Callithrix jacchus: one gene and its partner. The main gene of each other region encodes a partner of the protein of the gene in region 2 in a complex. Links are inferred from orthologs where the notes say so. Each region holds a gene or a part of one and is shown on either strand. Other genes may lie near its edges.

Region 1 (5,434 bases), on a different chromosome or scaffold from region 2:
CAAGACCCTGTCTCAAAACAACAATTGCAACAATAACAAAACCCTGATGAGTAAGACACAGGTCCTTCCCTAAACAAGGACAGGGACTTAGATAAAATAACGTCAGGTAGAATGTGATCAGTGCCTCTGGTGGCATGACAAGCCAATACTGTGAGGAATCGGGGCAAGAAGATCGTATCAAATCACAAGGCTCCATAAAAACTACCAGAGTCCACGAACAGTGGCTCACGGTTGTAATTCCAATACTTTGGAGGCAGCGGTGGGCTGACTGCTTGAGCCCAGGAGTTCCAGACCAGCCTGGACAACATGAGGAAACTCTGTCCATACAGAAAATACAGAAATTAGCTGGAAATAGTGAGGGGCGCCTGTTAGTCCCAGTTACTCAGGAGGCTGAGGTGAGAGGATCTCATAAGCCGGGAGGTCAAGGCCGCAGTGAGCTGTGATGGTGCCACTGCATTATCCTGGGCGACAGAGCAAGCCCCTACCCCAATTAAAGAAAAAAAACAAAAACAAAAAATAAAAAACTACCAGGGAGGGCCATGAGGCACAGACAGGATTGTGCCAGGCAGAGACAGAGGTAAGAGAAGAGAGACAGTTCTAGGTAATATATAAAGAACTAGGCCGGGTGTGGTGGCTCAAGCCTGTAATCCCAGCACTTTGGGAGGCCGAGGCGGGTGGATCACGAGGTCAAGAAATCGAGACCATCCTGGTCAACATGGTGAAACCCTGTCTCTACTAAAAATACAAAAAATTAGCTGGGCATGGTGGCGCGTGGCTGTAATCCCAGCTACTCAGGAGGCTGAGGCAGGAGAATTGCCTGAACCCAGGAGGCGGAGGTTGCGGTGAGCCGAGATCGCACCATTGCACTCCAGCCTGGGTAACAAGCGCGAAACTCCGTCTCAAAACAAACAAACAAACAAAACTAGCAGCGGGTGGGGAAGCATGTAGGGAGATGTGGAGACACAGCCTGAAAGTCTTAAAGTCACATAGTGGAGCCTTGAATGACCGACCCGGGTGCTGACACTCAAGAGAGGCAATGGGAAGACAATGAAGGTTTATTGTTTTGTTTTGTTTTGTGCAGAGAAATAGTAGCATTAGAGATGATTCCCAGGCAGGGTGACTGGGTAGCCAGGGTAAGGCGTGGCTTGTGCGGAATTAAGACAGTTGGGTTCTGGAGAGACCAAGCAATCATTCATGTGTGACCCATCAAACAACTGGAAAATCTGATCAGAGGTAAGTGGTTAAGTCCCCTCCTGGGAGCAGAGGGAGCACAAGGTTCTGGTTATTACCTCAGGGGACAGCGACCGAGAAAGAATACGGAAAGGACCAGCCAAAACGAACGCAGCCAAGACGAAAGGTCACAGAGAACAGCCAGGGGACCTGGGAATTTCAATACAGAGATTGTAGCCATGGCCCAGAACCCCAGCACGGGAGTCCAGAATGTGTGCGTTTGAACACCAGAGGCTTGGCTAGTCATGATTAGCAAAGCGACTTCAAAGAGTTTTTGAGCCTGTCTTATATCTGTAAAATGGGAATGATTTCTATCTCAAAGGGTTGAGGGGATTCGCTGAGAGTAACTTCTTAGTTATGGGATCTGCAGAAACTCTCCCTGGAGAGAGCAGGGGCCAGAGGGAGAAGGAATCCGACAGGCTGAACACTTGGGAGTGTCTAGAAATGGAGGCAGGGACCGTCAGGAAGCTGAAAATCTTTGCTTCAGCTGAGTTTGCAGCACGCCGTGCGAGGAGAATGGGTGCGCTGGGTCTGGGGAGCTTCTTTGTCCCCATTCCCCAGCACTGCCCGTGGGCCGACGCTCCCATCCCGCCACGCCTCCCAACGTACCCTCACCCGGGCTTCCCGCTCAGCTCCCGCTCCAGCCAGTCCCAGGAACCACAAGCGCATGCGCCCTCCCGCGCCCCTCCCCAACTTTCCACGTTTCATTCCTCTCCCTTTTCCTCCCCAGCTCCGGCTCCGCCGCTACGATTGGCCAACCGGCCACCGGGCCTCCGCCAATAAGCGCAGCCTTCTCGCCCCCGTGTTACTGGGTAGAAGAAAACAAAAACAAACAGAGCGAGAGGGGCCAGAGACTCTCCGAGGTGCAGAGGCGGCGGAGGCAGAGGAGCGGGATCGGGGCCGGCAGACCGGGGACCTGGGCGAGCAGCGGCGGGGGCCCGAGGGGTCAGTACCAGTGGGCGCGGCTCGCACGCTCGGGAAGATTGCTCCCTTTCCCTCATTCCCCCTCGGGGCAGCCGCACGATGGGAGGGGGCATGGGGGCCGCGGCCCTGTCAGGTCCTGGCCTGCGAGGCTGGGGTCCGGCTGCCTCCTCATAGCCCCACAGGTCCAGCCGCGCCCGCCCCAACGCTCCGGGACGCCGGCCCGGTTCCCTCCATCTGGGCCCAGCCCGGAGCGTGGCGACGCGGGCCCGCCCCCTCCCGGAGTCCTCTCCCCACTGAGAGGGGCGCGCGCCGGCGAGGGCCCCCCCCCAACCCTCCTCCCCCTCTGGCGGAGGTTGAATTCGGGGGTCAGGATTGGAAGGCGTGTTTCCGGTGAGACTGAAATCCTGTGAGGAAGGTTCGCATCCTCACCGCGCCCTCCTGAGAATCCCCTGAAGATGCATCCCCATGCCCGGCGTGCCCCGGAGACCCGGTCCCGGCCCAGCAGTTTCTGGGGGCCAGCCAGGGCTGGGGACTTCGGGGGTCCGGGCCTGAGCCCTCTGCAAGGGAGCGGGCTCGGCCGCTGCGGGGAAGGGCCACGCGCTCGCCTCGCCGGGGGGCTAGGAGGCGTACACGTGCCCGCCTCCCCTGCCCTGTGCGAACTTCGCCGCTCCAGCCCTCCGGCAAAGGGTCTCTTTTTTTTAGTTTAGGTAAAATAAAATCTCCCGGAGAAAACAAAGCCGGGAAGGGAGCCCCCTTTCTGTGAAACGCGTGCCATCTGCTGCATTTGTCAGTTTGGTGCTGTAACGTACATGGAGTTTTGCAAGAGCTTTAAAACTGTCTGCAGACGTCGATTTAGCCCACCTCCCCCTTGCTCTTGTGAGAACTTGCTACGTAGCCAGCAACTGTGTAGTGTCTACAAATGATAAAAACGATCAGAAATGCTGCTAGGTGTCGGGGAAAAGAGGGTTTCTCCTATTTTTTAACTTGCATTTTTACTGTTAATTTTTATAATTTTGATATTCTTTTTTTTCTGCCCCCCACCCACAATTTTGATATTCTTAACGTGGCTGTTTTTTTGGGAAACCACCAAGTGCTTTTTAAACAAGTAGTTATTGGTATTTATGTCCTTAATATTCCTTCATTACAGGTTTATTGAATACCTTAATAACTCAGTAAGTGCCTTTGAATTCTAATTGATTGGCTTTTTCCGTGATACTAATGTGAAAGGAAAAATAATTGTTAGGACTAAAAAAATAAATGCCACTTGAATATTTTCTGTAGTGCTCGTTTTTGCATTATTGTGGTACAAAGCTTTTAGCTGATTTTAAGCTGCTAATTAGCTGGCTGTAGCCGAAGAATGAATATAAGTAATTGTAGTTAATAAATGACTCCCCAAAATGCCAGAGCAATTTCTGAGGTATATTTCGGGAAATACATACAAATATACATACATACATATATATATATGTATATATACACATATACATGTATATATACACATATACACACACACATTTGCGGGGGAGTGGAGGGTCTTTTAGGGAAATGTCTTGGGAATTGAATAACACACTGGAGAAAAGAACAGTGTTTAATGTCAGCCTTCGTTTTCTTCTAACTTGTATGTATAGTTTTCTCATTGAAAATTCGTTTTTATAGGATGGTATGAAGGAAATAGGGTTTGGATTTTTTGCCATGTATTTTCCTGTTTGGGCCAATTGTGTTAACGGTTAAATTGGAAAAAAAAAGTCCTACTAGTTTTAAAGAGAGTAAAAACGTGGAACGTGTCTTATCTTTATCTGAACTCTTAAAATGTGTGTTGGCTGCTTTCAAATATGACTTGAGTTATCGATCGGGTTATCATTGCCTAAAAACACAGGACTTTTTTTTTTTTATTAAGATAACTTTATTAGGTAAGAGATGATACTCATTTCCTGACAGTTTTCTTTGTCTGATGGAATGCCTTCTGTATGATAGTTTAAAATAATTATTTTAAGTGTTTGGAAAACAGTATTTTAAAAAGTTTGATTTAACAGCAGAAGTCTGTTTTAATAAGCTTCTTTAAGAATCTTCCTATGGGATATTAAAATCTTGGATTGAACTTGTGCAGACAGTACTGGATTTGGAAGGTCTAGATTCTCATCCTGGCTCAAACTAAGCAGCTGTTTGTCCTTGGACATATTACCTACCCTCTCTGAATCTGTTTAGTTGTGTGTAAAGTGGAATACCTACCTGAAGATTGTTCTGTAAGGTACTAAATAATACATGTAAAATTCTTTTTGAATTGCAAGGGGCTTTTTAAACATCAGTTATATTCATTTCACTTATTAGGTTCTGCAGAAAATATTCTCTCAAAGGTTATACTTTCATCAAGAATGAAAAAGACTATAATAGAACTCTAAAAAACTCAAACACATCATATGACATTATTCCTTTCCTATAGGTAATTCATGCATGGAATTGAAACAGAATGTAGCCTTTTCAGCCATCAAGGATGCTAAATGTTTAAATCTGCAAACCATTTTTGTTCATGTATCTATATGAATCTCCATATACATATTTTTAAGATTTCTTTTCAAATCTAAAGTTGGTGAGAGTTATATTGAAAAGTGATTATAAAGAATCACATATATGAATATAATCTAGACAGAATTAGAGAATGGTCTCACCGTTTTCTTAAGTTCCCAAGCAATATGATAGCATGTTAGTCTGAGGATTATGCCATAGTAAGAAGCTTATAATTTTAATCTAAGGTCCATTTGTTTTTGTTTCAAAAAATAATACCCTTTTCTGAAGAAAAGGTCTATGAACTTAGGTTAACAAATAATAGTTTATAATGAGGAATTTAAAAGTCAGTTTCACCTTTGAGTCCCAGGAGGCTTCGCATGTATTGTTATCCTAAAATGACATCTAACAGTAGATTATGTTATATGGAAAAAAAAATGTGCTTTTCTGTAATTAATTTATTAGGCCTTTTCACTAATTTGTGCATTTTATATCTCTGAAGAGAACACTGTTAGCAACATGATTATAAATGAATCAGGAAGGACTTAATATATCACCTATGTGACTTAAACATACGCTTAAGTACTCTAAACCACTATTTAAAAAATACTTCTAGAGAGACTCTGACATCTTAATTTGCTTACACGTTCTAGTAATATATTTTTTGAATACTTTTGATATTTCTTTAATATAATATTATTGGATCTGTATCACTAAGTGAATTGTCTGAAAGGTAACTGATTTCATCAAACCTTTCAGAATTAATAATTTTTAGGCC
Region 2 (3,302 bases):
AGGACAGTCATTCCCTGTCCCCTGGGCTTTTGGCAGAGAGATGGTTAGCAACCCAGGGGCCAACTCCCTCCCAGGGGCCCCCTCCCCTCAGCTGTCTTCCTCCTTACCTGCCAGTAGCCCCAGCAAGGCCCCCAACAAAAGCACAGCCAGCCTCATGGCTGAACTGCCTCACCCAAAGTCCAGCTCGGCTGTCAGTACCAGTTGCTCAACCCTACTGGCTCAGCCCTCTCTTGGAAAGGAGGAAATGAGAAGTCTCACTTCCCATACAGGAGATGATCCCACCCACAGCCTGACTCAGGGACCTCAGCTCCAGCCACCCATCTCTTAGTCATTAGTTTTCGAAATTGTTAGGGGACTGTTGGCCCCCACTTAAGCGGGAGCAATCAGGGCAAAGTCAACAGTGTCACGTGGATACAAAACCCTGAGGCTGTTGACCTGCAGGGACCCATTCCTCTCAGCAAAACTTGCTTGGCCGTTGGGGCAGACGTCTAAGGTAACAGCCCCTCCCTCAGTGGGGAAGTCAGTGTTTCCACTCCCCTTTCTCCTTGACCTTATGGGTGGCCCATCTAGTTCTTCCTTTTGACTGAGGCACATGAGGGGCTTGTGATGTTCACACCCAGCCCTTTACAGAGGGGCAGCACTCCTGCCATCACCATTCTCAGTGCTAAGAACAGTTGTTCAGCGTTTGGGAATGCTCAGATGGTGGCAAGAAAAGCAACAATCTGCTAGTAAAGGGGGGAGGGAGATGCACCCAATAGCAGGTGGAAGGGGGTAGGGGAGGTAAGAAATGAGAAGCCCAAACAGGCAGTTTCCAAGTCATTTTATTCAGAATTTTGTTTGTTTCCTGAATCAATAAATACTATACAAAACAATGTAAAAATGGCTACCATTTTCTCTCCCCTGCTTCCCCCCACCTGGGGACAATCCCCTGGGCAATCTTGCTGAGGGGTTTTCAGGGTTCTTCCTCCAGATTTGGTCCAGCAAATGAGGCTGAATGACACAGTCCCTTGAATCACTTTCAAAGGAGCTCAGCTGAGGTGAGGAGAGCCTCTGGGATCTGGAGGTTACTAGGTTAGGGAAATGGATTAGTGTTTTTTGGGAGAAGAGCCGGCGCCTGGGGCAAGAGCCTACCCCAAAGAAAAGGGTGTCTAAAATGTTCACGGTTCCTTCTTTTGCCTCAAAAAGTGACATTTATTCAAAGAAAAAAATGACAAGATGTCCATCCCTTGGCTCCCTTCCCTCCCCCCGCCTGCTACTCCTCAGCCCCCCCGAAGACTGAACTCTGGTTGGGGTTAGGTGGCAGGACAGCCCCTCAGATGAGGTCAGCAACATTGAGGGGCATTTCCTCAATGGAGGTGTTGTAGAAGGTCTCTATGTCTCGAAGAGTCCGCTTGTCTTCTTCTGTCACCATGTTAATAGCCACACCCTTACGGCCAAACCGTCCACCTCGACCGATTCTGGAAAACAAGGGAAGGGGATGAGGAACATGAGGAGCTTTAGTCCAGTGAAGGCCAGGCATGAGGGGGGTGGGGCAGTGTTCCAGATGTACACTTACCTGTGGATATAGTTTTCCCTGTTGGTGGGAAGGTCATAGTTGATGACTAAAGAAACCTGCTGCACATCAATGCCTCTGGCCTACATCAAGAGAGACAACTCTTCAGCATGTGCATGAGAACCTATCCCAAAGGGATGACACATGGATATCCATGTAGGCAGCCAAGGAAAGCAGAGGAAATAAGCATCCCTGTTCCCCCAAAGACCTTAGGCATGCCAGATTCTATTCCAAGTTGCTACTTTCCTGAGAGGGGCACTGGAAGTCCCCTTGGAGAGGGAATCACCTTGGATCCTCCCTTTTGCCTTTCCAGTAAATTCCCTCTACTCACCAGTAGGTCTGTGGTAATCAAAACTCTGCTAGAGCCAGAACGAAATTCCCTCATGATTACATCTCGTTCCTTTTGGTCCATATCTCCATGCTAGAAGAGAAAATAAGCATCTAACAGGCCAGGCAGGTACATGGGTTTTGGGAACACTGGCTTGGAGGAGGACACTTCTGATGGGCAGACCCACAAAGGGCTGGCAACAAGCAAACACACCATGGCAGAGACAGTGAAATCTCGAGCATGCATCTTCTCAGTGAGCCAGTCCACCTTCCTTCGGGTGTTGATGAAGATGACTGCCTGGGTGATGGTCAGGGTTTCATACAAGTCACACAGTGTGTCCAGCTTCCATTCCTGGAGGTGTGGGGACAAAATCAGTCAGGGGCTATACCCAACAACTCACTACCAGACCCGCCTCCTGCACTGGGCCCCACCTCTCGTTCCACATTGATGTAGAATTGGCGGATACCCTCCAAGGTCAACTCTTCCTTCTTGACAAGAATCCGAATGGGGTCCCTCATGAACTTCTTGGTCACCTCAAGCACGTCAGAAGGCATTGTAGCTGACAGCAAAACTACCTAATGGAGAAAAAGGCCAGCCTTAGAGCCTTTCTTAGGTGTCCTTTCTGACGCCTGCTCCCTTCCCTAGTCACACCTAAAACTGAAGTGGGTGGACGAGCGAGGTGGCTCAAGCCACCTTGTAATCCCAGCACTTTGGGAGGCCCGAGGCAGGTGGATCACGAGGTCAAGAAATCGACCCCATCCTGGTCAACATGGTGAAACCCCGTCTCTACTAAAAATACAAAAAATTAGCTGGGCACGGTGGTGCATGCCTATAATCCCAGCTACTCGGGAGGCTGAGGCAGAATTGCCTGAACCCAGGAGGCGGAGGTTGCAGCAAGCCAAGATTGCGCCATTGCACTCCAGCCTGGGTAAAAAGAGCAAAACTCTGTCTCAAAAAAAAAAAAAAGTGAAGTGGGTGCCAAAAAAAAAAAAAAAAAAAGTCAAGATAGCAATCCAAAATTTGGTTCTTCTAGCACTTGCTATTTTTCTTCTAGAAAATAATCACTGCTGGGTGTGGCGGTTCATGCCTGTAAGCCTAGCACTTTAGGAGGCCAAGGCGGGCAAATACCTGAGCAGTCAGAAGTCTGAGATCAGCCTGACCAACATGGTGAAACCCTCTCTACTAAAAATACAAAAAATCAGCTGGGCAGAGCTACCACAGCACTCCAGCCTGGCCAACAAGAGCCAAACTCTGTCCTTAACTATTTTTTTTTTTCAGCTATTCAAGCAAGACTGCCCTCACCTGGGTGTTGCTGTTGAGCTTTTGGAAGATGTCATAGATCTGGTCCTTGAATCCACGGCTTAACATTTCATCAGCTTCGTCCAGTACAAACATTTTGATGTATTTGGGAGCTAGAGAATA

The links. The genes of interacting proteins can lie anywhere in the genome.
Region 1: the proteins of EIF4A1 (region 2) and PDCD4 are in contact, whole or in part, in a crystal structure (PDB 2ZU6), measured with the Homo sapiens proteins. The link is inferred for Callithrix jacchus from reciprocal best matches to the Homo sapiens genes EIF4A1 and PDCD4. Residues at the interface, in NP_001407.1 of Homo sapiens: Gln75, Thr109, Arg110, Glu111, Ile135, Gly137, Val140, Thr158, Gly160, Arg161, Asp164, Glu186, Leu188, Ser189, Arg190, Gly191, Phe192, Gln195, Ala214, Thr215, Met216, Pro217, Glu240, Leu241, Thr242, Asn280, Thr281, Arg282, Arg283, Thr329; in NP_055271.2 of Homo sapiens: Pro170, Gln173, Glu174, Glu177, His178, Glu183, Glu186, Met187, Asp190, Leu209, Glu210, Lys212, Glu249, Leu250, Leu252, Asp253, Thr254, Pro255, Arg256, Gly320, Gln321, Gln322, Ser323, Val324, Leu327, Glu348, Lys352, Glu355, Val356, Pro357.

The regions. Positions count from the first base shown.
Region 1 is NC_133513.1:103,813,049-103,818,482, forward strand, and holds the start of PDCD4 (programmed cell death protein 4), read left to right. Parts: upstream 1-2,079; 5' UTR 2,080-2,175; intron 2,176-3,301; 5' UTR 3,302-3,326; intron 3,327-5,434. UniProt on the Homo sapiens protein: Inhibits translation initiation and cap-dependent translation. May excert its function by hindering the interaction between EIF4A1 and EIF4G. Inhibits the helicase activity of EIF4A. Modulates the activation of JUN kinase.
Region 2 is NC_133506.1:74,070,158-74,073,459, reverse strand, and holds the end of EIF4A1 (eukaryotic initiation factor 4A-I), read right to left. Parts: exon of another isoform or gene 3,293-3,302; coding exon 3,183-3,292; exon of another isoform or gene 3,159-3,182; intron 2,456-3,158; coding exon 2,312-2,455; intron 2,232-2,311; coding exon 2,094-2,231; intron 1,974-2,093; coding exon 1,884-1,973; intron 1,846-1,883; exon of another isoform or gene 1,705-1,845; intron 1,636-1,704; coding exon 1,556-1,635; intron 1,458-1,555; coding exon 1,313-1,457; 3' UTR 804-1,312; downstream 1-803. Other genes in the region: CD68 (macrosialin), read right to left, coding at 1-26, 108-156. UniProt on the Homo sapiens protein: ATP-dependent RNA helicase which is a subunit of the eIF4F complex involved in cap recognition and is required for mRNA binding to ribosome.